Linked DNA regions of Astyanax mexicanus. The protein of the gene in region 1 purifies or fractionates together with the protein of each later gene. This does not show direct contact. Links are inferred from orthologs where the notes say so. Each region holds a gene or a part of one and is shown in the gene's direction. Other genes may lie near its edges.

What was found. The genes of interacting proteins can lie anywhere in the genome.
Region 2: the proteins of ptp4a1 (region 1) and metal transporter CNNM4 purify together in Homo sapiens (affinity purification with mass spectrometry; 6 studies listed by BioGRID and IntAct, with this or other methods). This does not show direct contact. The link is inferred for Astyanax mexicanus from reciprocal best matches to the Homo sapiens genes PTP4A1 and CNNM4.

Annotation. Positions count from the first base shown.
Region 1 is NC_064423.1:12,467,166-12,474,529, reverse strand, and holds the start of ptp4a1 (protein tyrosine phosphatase type IVA 1), read left to right. Parts: upstream 1-4,288; 5' UTR 4,289-4,461; intron 4,462-7,364. Other genes in the region: lgsn (lengsin), read right to left, coding at 987-1,156, 1,259-1,889, 2,058-2,087. UniProt on the Homo sapiens protein: Protein tyrosine phosphatase which stimulates progression from G1 into S phase during mitosis. May play a role in the development and maintenance of differentiating epithelial tissues.
Region 2 is NC_064429.1:30,753,354-30,761,055, reverse strand, and holds the start of metal transporter CNNM4, read left to right. Parts: upstream 1-4,642; 5' UTR 4,643-4,681; coding exon 4,682-6,119; intron 6,120-7,702. UniProt on the Homo sapiens protein: Probable metal transporter. The interaction with the metal ion chaperone COX11 suggests that it may play a role in sensory neuron functions. May play a role in biomineralization and retinal function.

The DNA of each region.
Region 1 (7,364 bases):
CAGAATTATCAACATGCAAAAGCATCCTAAAGTTGTGAAGTTATTTACAGTGCTGTGAAAAATTATTTGCACCCTACAGATTTCTTTTTAGATTTTTATCATACTTATATTTTTCAGATTAACAAATACATTTATTATTAGACAAAGATAACCTGAGTATATATAAAAAGCAGTTTTTAAATGATAATTGAATTTACGAAGAATTCTATTCAATTCTATTTAACCAACCTGGCCCTGTGTGGAAAATGATTTGCCCCAAAACCTAATAAATTGGTTGAGCCACCCTTGGCTGAAACAACTGTAATCAAGCGTTTTAAATAACTGGCAATAAGTCTTTTTAGCCCACTCTTCTTTGCAGAATTGTTTTCATTCAGCCACATTGGGGGGTTTTGCGCAAGAAAGGCCTGTTTAAGATCCTGCCACAGCTTCTCAATCAGACTTTGACAACCAAAACCTTCACTTAGGTTTTTTGAGCCATTTAGAGGTGGACTTGCAGGTATGACTGAACTTTTGGTAAAGAGCAGAAAATATGGTTCAATTACAGCAAATCCAGGTTGTGTAGCAGCAAAGAAGCCCTAGACCATCATGCTACCACCACCATGTTTGACCTTCATTATAAAGATCTTTTCCCTAAATTATGTGATAATTTTACACCAGATGTAACAGGGGAAATACCTTCCAAGAAGTTCCACTTTTTTGTCGAAAATTCACAGTATAAGTCCTGGGGATCATCAAGATTTGAGATGGGCCTTCATGTTTTTTTTTTTGGTCAGCAGTGGTTTTTGCCTTGGAACTTTTCCACGGATACCATTTTTGCAGTCTCTCTTTTTTATTATTGAATCATTAACACTGACGTTAACGTAGCAAATACTCATAGCACTGTATATCATAAATATTTCAAAAATAAATCTAAGCATAAGTTTCTTTCATTAATGCACATTTGATTCAGTCACCCTACATTTAGCAATTAAGCAGGAGATATTTACATGAAAGTAGCGAGCGGGGACCATCTTGGATCTGGACACACCGTGAAGATCTGTTGCTTCAAAGCGAACAAAGCCAACATTCTCTCGAGAAATCTGCTGCTTAATCAGATCAAGCTCGTAAAGGAAATTCTGAGATCCGTGAGATTCTGTATGAGAACTGTCCCTGTTATCTGTAGAACGCATAAAAATAAACATCATTAAAAATAAATAAGAGGGACACCAAAATCTTTCAGATTTCTCCATCAGTAGAGGAACAGTAGAGGCACACTCACCTGTCTGTGATGACCACGTGTCGGAGGAGTGGGCTCTATCACTGGAGGGTGTCCTGTAACCAGTTGTCCTGCTTGTATGACCGTCGGTCCTGGATGACCCACTAGAATCCCAGCCAGAAGAAGCACCATCTCTTGGTCTCGAGGCTCTTCTGCTCCCTGCAAGAATTGGTTTGAAGGTTGTAAAGGACTTGGATGGTATGTCGTCTGGTCTGCAGTCCACCCTCTGTCCAGGCGTGTGGCTGTGGGGACTGACCGGGCGGCCGTCGTCCCTCAGCATGGAGCTCTCACGTAATATATTCTTCAGTTCTTCCACTGTCTGTCTAGATACACCTTGTTCTGTGAAGGGTGGATGTCCCCGGAGGTCTTCTCCACCCCAGTCATCATTACTGGTGAAATCCTGGTTCTGGGGCTCGCTGGTGACAGTGGGCTGACAGTGTGGGCCAATAGAAATGACTGTGGGGTTTTCAGCAGGACTTGGAGTGTAAAAATTTGTCTGGACGATGGGCACAGGAGTCCCCCTTCTGTCCCAGTCTGAAGAAGCTACATGTTTACCGCTAACCTTTACCCCCTTCTTACTGCTGTGGCTCATGTTCCCTCCGTCCACTTGGTCTGAATCTGTAGATGCCATTTCCTATATATAAACATAAACAAAAAATATTCATAGTTATAAACGAGCAAATCCAATTCTGAGAGTCGCACCAAGATGACATTCCCCTTTTTTATACATAATGGATTACAAACACTCAAAATATATATGTTATACATTTGATATTTTTGTAGAGAAATCTGAAGACTGTACTTTCTCTTTCGGTCCATCTGATTTTTGCATCGTGTCTCCAGTTTCTTTGAGCCGGTGGTTTCAGATTTTGTGAGCTCCAAGTTGAAACAAGAGCTATGGCCAAGCACATCATTTATAGGCCGCCGGTACAATGCTGACCATTTGGAACATTCCCTCTGCCCCCCCACCCCCAGTTCCTCCCAGTGCACCCACAGTAAAATGGTTTACACAACTAACAACCTGTGACTGAAACACACTCCTCCTCTGATTGGCTGATGCTGAGAGCGGCCCAGGCTGTTCACTGGTCTATTGTACAGGATAGCACCATTGAAAACTATGCTGAGATCAGCTTTTTTACACAGACCTCTAAACACAGCCCGACCAATTTCTAGAAAGATGTTTTTTAAAACAAAGAGAAGAAAAAAACAATATTCACCACAAATATTCTCCATTATCTATAATACAGGCTTCATATGCATAATATTCCCATATTGTAAATGCAGCTTATGTGTAAAAAAAATATTTTCAGAGACTTTAATTTAATAAATCACTATATTTTATGTGGGAGTGATGAAAAGAGGCAAAATTCCATCTAGCAAAACCATGAAGAGTGATCGAGGCATGTCATGCTCTCACCCTTATTGCTTAAAAAAACATAAATATGCCTTCCTTAAACACTTCATCTGCTTTAAACCATTACTCACCCAAAGTTTAAATGCTGAATGCTCATATGCTCAAAGTTTGAAGGGGAAATATTATTATATTATATATTAATATTATATATTAAGTTATAATAGGTCTATGGGCAGTACAAAACATGTTCATAAAGTTTTTGGCGCCAAATTACTCTCACATAAAGAGATCTCACCAGCTCTATTCTTACCAGTGTCAGTCTCATTCAGAATTAGCCATTAAAGGTTTGTGTAAACGCATGCAGGAATACACGGTACACAGGCAGTCTTCAGGAGACTTGTGTAACCAATGAACGTAATGCAGAACTGTTCACAGGAGTGTTGCATCCGTTGCTTTGCAGAAATCGTGCCCTGCCATAGACTCGAGTGTGGGAAAGAAAGAGAGCAGGAGAGTAAGGTGCTGCCCTCATCTACATATTCATAAAGTGCATGCAAAACAGAGAGGGTTCTGACTGGCCTGTTCTCTACAAAGAGTCTGTGAGTCAGCCCATTAATATTTATTGTGAGTGGGCTGTGTTTCTTTCCCCTTCTGGACGGGATGCACTTAGTGAGTAAAAGAAGGAGCATCATGGCTCCCATCTAAACTCATTTCACCTCTGACTACTCTAAAGTATATCCATGTCTGGTAAAAGTAAAAAACAATGAAAGTCTTGCCCACTGTACAGTTTGTAATAGCGATTTTTAAGCTAAGTCCGGGGGTATCTCCCTGAAATTTATTTTCGCAACTTGAGATGTCTGCAGAGTTCACGGTTTTCCCTCCAAATTGGGCTTGTTTGAAAATCCGGTTGTGGGTGAAAATTCAGGGGTGGCGGGGTGTGTTTTTTTTAGCTACGTTTAAAAATTACAGCGGCAAAAAAAACAAACAAAAAAGTGGACAAATCTGAAAATTGAGAGATCATTCAACTTTTCATTTTTGTTTGCGAAAGGCTGAAATGAAAAACTTGATAATTAAAAAACTGGATGAAAACCAGTCAGTGTAACGTTTTGTAGTTTAATTTTTGACTGTATCAAGCTAAATTTGAAATGAAGAACAAATGTGTTTTCATAATTTTTTTAATTGTCGAGTATTTAATTTCAGCCTTTCACAAACAGAATTTAAAGAAAACTGAAGAGTTGAATGTTCTCTCTTTTTTTTATTTGTCCATTTTTGTATCTCGTTACACAAATCTGATGGTATAATCCAACTTGCAAAATGCAAGATAAAAAAATAAAAAGGAAGAAAACTTATTTCTTGTACATTGCACTACTTTAAAAAAGGAAATCATAAGTTTTTACATCCAGTGTTCTATTTTTGAATTTAACCTCAAACAGTCAGAAAATGTAATTAATTAAAGTTACACTGACCAAAACCCATTTCTTCTTCATTTGAAATTTAGCTTTGATACAGTCAGAAAATTAAACTGCTAAACGTTACACCGACCTGGTCTGATATGGCATCACCGCGCGGGGAGGGAGAGAACAACAGCAGCGGCGGGCTGACCCGGTTCTGAGAGACCCGTCCCCCCTCCTCCTCCTGCTGATGATCCAGGGCGCGGTTACTGTGTGGAGAGCGAGCGAGCGAGCGAGCGCGCGCCAGGCAGGCAGGCTGGAACCGGTTGAGGCAGAGACGGAGTCGCGGATGAGACAGGGCGCGCGCTGCGGCTGTATGGTAAAAAACAATTCAGAGATTTCACCGCTTTCTCGGGACCGGCTTTATGGTTAAACTACAATCTTCAATGAGTAAACATATTCCAGTAAGTACACAAATCTCATATTTAAAGCGGGGCTTTTGTTTTATACGCGCGTGGCTCTGTTTTAAGATTGTCTTTATGGGGTTTGGCGAGATTGTTGTCGAATCGAGGTCATTGTTTTAGCCTGGTAGCGCTGGATGTAGAGGCGGGTAGTCTGGATCCTAAAGTTTATTAATCCAGTCCTGGATTTTGTTACAGCCGCCAGTGCGGCAATGCTGCAGCTGTTCTGCAGCAGAGCCGCCCTGACGGTTGGAACAAAATCCCGGTGCGGATTTTTACGTGTGGTACTTTCTGGATTAAAATTCCCATCTTTAAAATAGACATTAGTCCTTCATAATCTGTTTTAACCTGGATTATAGCTGGATACGTCCTTCTAAATCACAGTGACCTAATTTTTATTAGTTAATGAGTCTATATGTTCTTTTTTAAAACCATGGAATTGTAGTTTAATTAATTTAACAGTTAACTTAACAGTCAAGCGAGCTTTGTGCTTTAGCCAGCAAGCAAGTTAGCTAGCTAGCGTTAGCTAACCTTAAAACGACGGGTTTCGTCGTTATTCTGTGGATACCATTAATTTATTCTGGTTTACAAAAAATCGAAAATAAATATTAATAAATAAAGATTTCTTATAAAATACTAAATAAAGTATTTTAAGAAGATTAGTTAACGTTAGCTAGCTAACTAGGATAACAACAGCAGGAGGCCCGACAGGTTGTTAGCTAGCTAGCTATTTCAAGCTAAAGCTAACTAGCATATCATTCTAACTTAGCCTAGCCATTTGCCGCATATATAACATATTTAGCTAGCGTTAGGTGGGTCGTAGTTGCACAGCCGGTGTTATGTTGAATTGTGTTACACATCAATATGTGCGTCTTAACAGTACTGCGCATGCGCCTTAAATTTTTCTTACGAGCCAACAAAAAAGCTTATGGTGATGTAGTTACGTGTCACAGACCATTTAAAAGATGTGAAAAAATGTGGAAAGTTGCGTACAGCACTCTATCCACGATTCTAACTCATCAAAGTCCTTAAATATGTTATCAAGATGTCTGTTGGGAGCGTGCTTCTTTTTTCGTTGCCAATTTTACCTTTAAAACACACTGGGGAAGCACGATTTGACGAGGAGCACAACTCGACAGAACACCTGGTTGGCTAGGCTAGCACATTCTTTTCACGGCTTCTATATGTGTGCGCCGCTTTCTTTGTGGGGAAGCTTAGCTAAACTGAGCTCTGGTCTCTGTCTAATTCAATTAACGTTAGCTAATCTAGTAGTTAGGTATCTTAGCTCACAGGTAGGTTAATAAGCTAGTTTATTGTCTCTGCCCATAAGCTAGTTAGTTTAGTGAAATACAGAAACTCTTCAGCTAGCCCAGCATCTCCTTATAAATAATAAGGAAAGTAAAATCCAAATAAAATCAGTCAAGTTTCAGTCAGTAGGGTTAACCTTCTCTCTTTAAATGTAAATAAATCAACCTTGGGTTGTGTTACATTGTTTTATGAGTATAAAATAAAGCTCTGCTCCACTGCAGAGTCTCTGTGATGGGCATCAGCAGGGATACCAGCATAATGATGTACCTGTGCTACTACCACTGTACTTATTATCTATGGCTGCAACTACTGATTATTTCAGTAGGCAACTAACATGATTATAATTTTTTTAGATTAGATAGATTAGATTTTATATATATATATATATATATATATATATATATATATATATATATATATATATGTATATGTGTGTGTGTGTGTGTATATATATATATATATATATATATATATATATATATATATATATATATATATCTCAGGAGACACCGCTCATTTTATTGTTTGCATACAGTTCCTTGAGAGGTAAAATATAAAGCAAATGTTACATTTGTTTCTGAATTTCTGAACCAGGGTGTGTAGTCTATAAATGTGTAAGTTATAAATATAATATATATATATGTGTGTGTGTATATATATTTTGCCATTAAATGTTTATTCAGCTAACATCTTACATTAACCAATCACAGCTTTAAACAATATTTTTTAACAATAAATTTAAATAATCTAATAAAAATAATAAAAAATTACCTTTAACGCAAAAGTGCCTATGGTGACATAACTTTAAAAGTTGTGAAAAGTTTGTTCCTTTGTCCTTGACTTTAAATCATGAAGTCCTCAAGTGACATACTGTATGACCTGACTTTGTCAAAGGACAGTATATGAATGTTTGTTCATTTATTTGACCTTATTAGCAGGATGTACGTAAGATACGTGAGATAAAAGTATCTTCTTTAAAAATTATATTTTTCTACAGCTCTTTTCCAATCAACGATTTAACTAAATGTACATTGCATTCCATTCCATATAATTGGTTGTGGCATGATTTCTAGAACAAAACGTTAAAATCCAGATTATGAAATTATATTCACTTGTTACATCTATATAGACTATAACCCTCAAATATTTACAGTCATTTTTTCACAGTAAGAAAAAAACATGAGCTGCTCTCTGAATTAGATTTTGGTATCAATATTTAGAAATGGGTCTCGGCTCTTATGAATTAAAGTAGCACAGATAGTAGCTGCCATTCATATAAGTGCGGTCAGTGTCGCTTGGTCCTTTTCTTTTATCGCTTATCAAACAGCAACTACTGTTTTATACCGTTATAATTCCGATATCATTGTGAATCTCTACTTTAAATGTGTAAAGTACTGATATTTAGTAAGTAAATATGTTTTCTGTTGTGTTTGGGCACTTTTGGAGAGACAGACCAAGTTGAGTGTAAACTTTGTGAGTGCGGCAAATTCCCGTCTCCCACTAGCAATTTTATATGATCAACATTGTGGATTATGTTAACTAATTATTGCAGCCCTATTGTTTACCTGCTTTTCTCTGACCCTCCATCTTTCTGTTTT
Region 2 (7,702 bases), on another chromosome or scaffold:
TATACCTATTGTATATTATACACCAGTAAACCATTATGCAACTAAAGTGTCCTAGATGCTAATTGGAGCTAAAAAAAAGAATAATAGAAGCAGAAACAAGCAGGTGGTAATAATGGTATGCTGGATAGTGTATAACGATAGAGTACAATATATCAAATGCTGTGGATTCAGAAATTAAAATATCATATGTATGCATAGCTATTTTGTCAATAATAATAATAATAATAATAATAATAATAATAATAATAATAATAATAATGATATCCCTCTCCTGCTTCTCCTCTCCCAATTTTTGTATGGCTGACAGTAGTTCCCAGGGAAATTAACTCCATTTACAAACACTTTGTCCAAGCTAATACAATATCTTTATTGGCATTTATTGGCACACTAGCCTTTAAAATGTTTGGTTACATGCTTTGGTCAAACAAATACAGAAGTCTTTATTTAAAAATGCAACACCCAGCCACTCACACACCCAGCCACTCACACACCCAGCCACTCACACACCCAGCCACTCACACACCCAGCCACTCACACACCCAGCCACTCATGAAGCTGGCTGCAGAATCCAGGGTGCTCGTTTTCGCTGTAAAATGCCACAAGCTCCCCTCGTCTCCCATGCCCAACGTAGCCTGTAATATAAGTAAAAGCACACACTTTCACAAAGTAACAATCTCTCAAGCCCCAATACCTTAAATATATTGACTTACCAATTTCTGACCTCAGGAAAAAATTATCAAAATTTATTTAGAACAAACATACCCAGTATGTAGTCTTTATAAGTTTCTTGACAGTTCTGGCAGCACTGCAGTTCGTACATCCTGCGAAACTCGTCTTTACATGCAGCACTGTGATGTTTTCATGGCACTACACCTGTAGGTTTAAAAAAATCAAGAATTTTAAAATGATTTCAAAATCAATGAGTGTAATTCCTTTTCTAAGGGAAAACAAACATCTTAACTGTACTGAAATATCATGCTTACTGTCAAGCCACTCGAAATGTGCCCGGGCCCGGAATGATTGTTGTCCAAACAATGTCCCGGAAGAGACGACAAACCAGTGACAGCTTTAAAAAAGCTTTGTCACCCTCTTCCAGAACTGTATCTATGAGAATAAGGGGCATCTGTGAAAAACATTATAGAAGCATGTAGATTTTGATTCATGAAAATTATAGTAATTGAAAAAAATGACCAGATAACATTCTAAGGCTGCAACCAATTACTATTTTGGTATTCTATTAATCTGAGTTGGCACTTATTATTTCAATCATATCCCCAATCTCTGATTACTGTAGGAATGGCTAGCATTTTTGCCTGAAGACTGTAGTCAGCGTCATTCTGTTGACTAATCTCTGCCTTAACGTAACAAAACAGCTCTCTGCTTTTCTATCCCTTTAAAATGATAGCTCTCCAATAGCTTATGGGCTTCAAATGCCCTTGAAATGACTAGTCAACACTAGGTCAAGTTGAAATTTCAAATAATGTCAACTTATCTTTTCAGCCCAATTCAGACTTTTGAAAACAAACCACAACAGTAAAACATTTTAAATGGCCCAGTTAAATTAACCCGAAATAAAAAACACACATCCACACCCTTACACCTGTTCAAAGGAGACGTTGCCCATTCTATCTCCTTCATCAGTCACACGTTCAACACGCTGAACTTTCCTGAGAGAAAATATAATAATTAATATAATTAATACCATGCACAGAGGAAGCAAGACCAGAACTGGGAGAAGGTGTATCAGGAGTAGCTGGCAGAGGGGGAGCTGGACGTGCATCAGAAGTAGCAACAGTCTGTGGATTAAACACTTCTGCTATAATGGTCTTGGTTGCACTGCTGCACAGAGATACATGATGTCTGAACTGGTCTTTGCATAGTATTGTATGGCTGCAATAGACACAAAAGTGTGCTGTAGGTGTGCAGTTTAGAGATGAAGGAAACTGTAAGACCAAAATGCACACAACATGCAATTAAGCCTATAAATATTAATATTCTTCAACTCATTATGCCCATCAATTGAGTGTAAGATGTAAGTGCATTTGTTGATTCAAGATATTACATTTACATGTTTATTTGTTATAGCCAATAAAATCAATATCTCTCTCTCTGTTTAAAGAAATACTTCCCCATACCGTTATTCTCGACTGCTTGTTTGATATGGTTTTGTAGATGTAGGCTGTTATTAAATCGCTGGTCAGTGTCAAAACTGAAGCAGGGGCATTTGAAAACACCACACTGGCCAAACCGTGAAGGGTCAGGAGTGGCCTGGACATGTGTTGGATGCTGTAAAACAGAAAGCAACAAAACACAACATGAGCTTACAATTACTATATCGGTGCACATTAATTGTAACTACATTCAGTACAAAGGTAATAAATGTGCATCGACTTAACCCTCCTGTTACGTTACGGGTCAAATTGATCCATTTAGTAAGATAGTAAAAGTATTTTTTCTGTATGAAACGTCTTCAGCTTGCCTTTATTTGTATAATTAACATATAACATGAAAATGGTTAATTTCATATTTGCAACAACCCCCTGCAAAAACTAAAACTAAAACGAAATTGTAATGTTATGTTTCATTTATATGTAAAAATATTGTGTTGGTTGTTTAAAAGTAACAAAGTAGTAAAACAAAAAAAAAGTAAGATTTTTTAAAATGTAAAAACAAGTGAATTATCCTAATTGAACTATTACCTCTATTGTACACTATTGTACTAAATGTTGATACAACAATCAGCAATGGAGTTAGTTATTAAATATTTACTCTTCTGGTTAGGATTATTTTGGTTTCAGAAATATTTTGGATAATTAAAAATGAACCAGGTCAAATTAACCCGGGAATACCATTGCTATTCCTGACAAATTAAATAGGAGGATTAAGCATTGATATCTTCAAATATTTATTTGTATGACTAAGACTTTGAACCAATTTGAGTTAGTTAGATTATCTTGCTATCTTGTTAGCCAATTAACTTCTTGTATAGACAGTTTAAACAGTTTTTTAGGTTAGCTGACTATAACCCCTAGCTATGCCTTAAAAACAAAACTGATGCCTAGCTCACTACTAGCTATGAGAGTTTATCTGTGATACCATTAATTGGTAGCATTTTAGCCCATAAAACAGAAGGTAAGATAACTAAAGTTTGAATTAGACAAGACTGGGTGCAATTCTGCATTAGAATCCATCAAAAAAAAACGGCAATATGACTAGCTAGAAGCAAACAAACCACATGGTACACGCGCCGATGTAGAACCTTCATGTGCGTATCAACGACTCACCGTTTATTCATAAAATATAATATAGAAAAACAAGAGGACATTATAAAAATAGCTCTGTTAACTTAAAAAATAACTCAATATTTGTACTTATCGCCATAACCGGAGATATAAATCAGATAGATGCTTTAGCTGCTTTCTCGGCTACAATTCCTGTTTACCGGGAGTAAATGTAGGCGTTCGTGACGGACGTAAGGTGGGTGTTGCTTTAGACGTAAGGCGGAGTTGGACATGGGCGGAGTTGGATGTGGGCGGGGTTGGATGTCCAACTCCGCCTTCCTACAGGCTGCAGCGAGCGGCTCCTCTCATAGTCTGCATGTCTTTAGTATAGGTTTACAATGGAAAAGCTCTCCCTGCACCACTAGAGGGCACCAATACTATTAAATTAATGTGGTGTGTAGTAAAAATGAAGAGCTGTCTGTTATAATGAATATGCAACATCTTTTTTCAAATGAGAAATGGTTGAAATAACAACAACAAAATGCAGAGCTTTCAGACCTCAATTAATGCAAAGAAAACAAGTTTATACTCATAAAGTTTTAAAAGTTCAGAAATCAATATTTGGTGGAATAACGCTGATTTTTAATCACAGTTTTCATGCATCTTGGCATCATGTTCTCCTCCACCAGTCTTACACACTGCTTTTGGATGACTTTATGCGACTCCTGGTGCAAAAATTCAAGCAGTTCAGTTTGGTTTGATGACTCGTGATCATCCATCTTCCTCTTGATTATATTCCAGGAGTTTTCAATTTGGTCAAATCAAAGAAACACATAATTTTAAAGTGGTCTCTTATTTTTTTTCCAGAGCTGTATATGCAATATTAATATTGAACATTGAAAATTCATGTTTAAAATTGCCGAGTTGAATATGGATGAGTATCTGAATTTGCAGTTAAAGTTTATATTAATTAAATATTAACGTATTTATAAATATTTAAATATCTTTATATATTACATACCTAAAAAACACGTATTTGAACTACATAAGATAACCATAAATACCATAATTAGTGCGAATGTTATAAAGTTTCTGCAATAAATAAACGCTAAATGAGCGGTAGACAAAAGTATCTGTTCCAGTCCACCTTAAAACAAAAATAATTACTCCCAGTCGCCCTTAAAAAACTTTCTTCAAAAGCTGGAGGCAGGGGCCGTCTCTCGAAATCGCAATCTGATTCGTGTTCGGCCATGAGAATCCCACCTCAGTTTCTCATTGGCTGTATTAAAATGAACTAGGCGTGTCCCTTGCTCTTATTGGCTGCATGCTAATGTAGGGGCGAGTCGTTCAGTGCAGAGGAATGAGTAGAGGTGACGTCAGCCCCCCGCCTAGCAGCTAGAGCGAGGAGGGAGCGAGCGAGCGTGCGCACGCGTGTGTCAGTGCGCGTGTGGACAACAAACATGGCGACAGGATGGTGCGGGAAGGGGAGCGCGCTGGCTATGGTGGTGTTGGCGGTTTGCGGGGTCTGCGCGGGCGCAGCGGAGAGGGGAGCGGGCGCGGGGGGATCCGGGGACGCGGGCGGAGAGCCCCGCATCCTGGGCGTGCGGCTGGAGGGCAGCGACAAGCCGTTCACGACCACCGAGGACGGCGTGATCCAGGTGACCGAGGAGAGCAGCGTGTCCCTTCGCTTCTACGGGCTGCACCTGAGCAACGACACCCGGGCGCAGGTGAGGTTCGTGGATCTGGGCGGGGACGCAGGTGGAGGTGGTGCAGGTGGAGGTGGAGGTGGAGGAGGTGAGGATGCGCTGAACGGCACCTGCGACGATGTCACCAAAGACATCACCGTGCGGGGCAGCATGAACGTGAGTAAGCTGGGCACCTCTGCGGTGCTGCGCGTAAAAGTGAAGCTGCTGCGTAAAAGCGAGAAGCAGAGGGACTATGGCATGTGCACGAGGAGCCAGAGGGATGGTAGGTGGCATCTGCTGGGCGAGCAGGATGGCAAGCTGCGTGTGGTGGAGGAGAAGAAGTCACTGCTGCCTCTGTGGCTCCAGGTGATTCTGATCTGTGGCCTGCTGGTGCTGTCAGGTATGTTCAGTGGCTTGAACCTGGGCCTGATGGCACTGGACCCAATGGAGCTGCGCATTGTGCAGAGCTGTGGCACCGACAAGGAGAAAAAGTATGCCCGCAAGATCGAGCCCATCCGCAGGGAAGGGAACTACCTGCTCTGCTCCCTCCTTCTAGGCAACGTCCTGGTCAATACCACCCTCACCATCCTCCTGGATGACCTCATAGGCTCAGGTGTGGGCGCGGTGGTGGCCTCCACCATTGGCATCGTCATCTTCGGCGAGATTGTGCCCCAAGCCCTCTGCTCTCGCCACGGCTTGGCGGTGGGTGCCAACACCATCCTGCTCACTAAGTTCTTCATGCTGTTGACCTTCCCCATGTCCTACCCAGTCAGCAAGCTGCTGGACTGCGTCCTGGGCCAGGAGATGGGCACCGTCTACAACCGTGAGAAGCTGGTGGAGATGCTGAAGGTGACCGAGCCGTACAATGATTTGGTGAAAGAGGAGCTCAACATGATCCAGGGAGCCCTGGAGCTCAGGACTAAGACAGTAGAGGATGTCATGACCCCTCTCAGCAACTGCTTCATGATCCACAGTGATGCTGTGCTGGACTTCAACACCATGTCCGAGATCATGGAGAGCGGGTACACTCGCATCCCCGTCTTCGAGGATGACAGGACTAACATTGTGGATGTCCTGTTTGTGAAAGACCTGGCCTTCGTGGATCCTGACGACTGCACCACCCTCAAGACCATCACCAAGTTCTACAACCATCCGGTCCACTTTGTTTTCCATGACACCAAGTTGGACTCCATGTTGGAGGAGTTCAAGAAAGGTGTGTTGGCACGGCACAGGGTCTGGTGTGGGGTTGTTGGTGCAGGTTGAAGAGGGTGCACTAGTAGTTTTTTTACTCTGAACAGGAAGGTTTTTCTGAAGGTATTGTAGATAGATTGTACATAAGCAATGATTCAAATCAGATGTTTGTTTTGGGTTCAGGCAACTCAGACTTGTCCTCAGGTCCATCCAGATGGTCCACAGTTTTGCTCTGTCTATATATATGTATGTCATGAACTGAGCAAACATGGAAATTATGAGGACTGGTTTGAGAGGCACTTGCACAAAGAAGCATTAGTCTAAGGCCTCTTAAAGTATCTCCTATCATAAAGACTTAACACTGATCAGTTTCATCAGGTCTAATCAATATGAATGAAATTTAAAGTAACAGTCTGTAGGTTTTGGGCATGTGGGGATTGAGAAAGTGTAATTGCAGCAAAAGTAACCAGCAAATTATACTGGATCTTCTTTAAAAGCTGTATGTGTGACATAAGTATACACAAATCCTTCCAAAACCTACCAGACCACTCTGTTTTTAGATTAATAATATATTAGAGATTACAGGGTTCGTTAAAACAGCACACTGATACCATAAATCTTAAAGCTTAATATAGGGGTGGGCGATATGGCTCTAAAATAATATCACGATATTTCAGGGTATTTTTGCGATAACGATATACTTGGCGATATAGGAAAACTAAAACAATTCATTCATTTCAGGAATATAGTATAATAGTTTAACAGAATAATCATAATGTGGCAAAATAAATAATATAGCATAAAATAATATAATGCAGCAAATAATATTGCAGAATATTTAGTGCATGCATATAAACTGCAAACTAAAACAATTATACAATTAAGACATTAAAGTTTCACAGTAAATAATAGAATACTTTTAAGACAGAACAGCCCTATTATCACAATATGGATTTTTAATATCATGATATTTCTGTGTCACGATATATTGTATACGATATAATATTGCCCACTCCTAGCTCAATATGTAAGGACTGCTGCTTTAAGTTAAGCATATTACTAACATCATATTAACAATGAATCTCACCAAGCTTGTTTAATCTCTAGTCAGGTCAAATTTATTTGTATCACACATTTTGTTAACTGATGTTGGATATAACACTCATTCAAAGCTAAAGGAACTTAACTACTCTGGGATGGTCTAAGACTCATAAGGGGTTCTATCCTTTTTTTTTTGGTCCAAGCCACTTATACAATAATTAATAATGGTATAACGTAGTCTTAACACCACTTACTGGTGTTGTACTGAAATAATCATTGAAATGCATAGTAATAGTAGTTATAGCAATAAAGAAGTAATAAAGATTGATAATAGTAATTATAATAGCCACATAATCAGTAATACTACTGATTCGTTTATTGTTTAGTGGAAGGGCTTGTTTTTATTACAGCCTTTCTGCAGTATCAGTATGACGAAGGCCAATATCAATATAAAGCATAACTGTTGTGCACTGAAGGAAAGGAAATATAAATACTACATAAGGATTAGAGATGGATCAGTCTGGCAGTTGTTAGCTTATATTTTTTATGTACATATATCTTCCA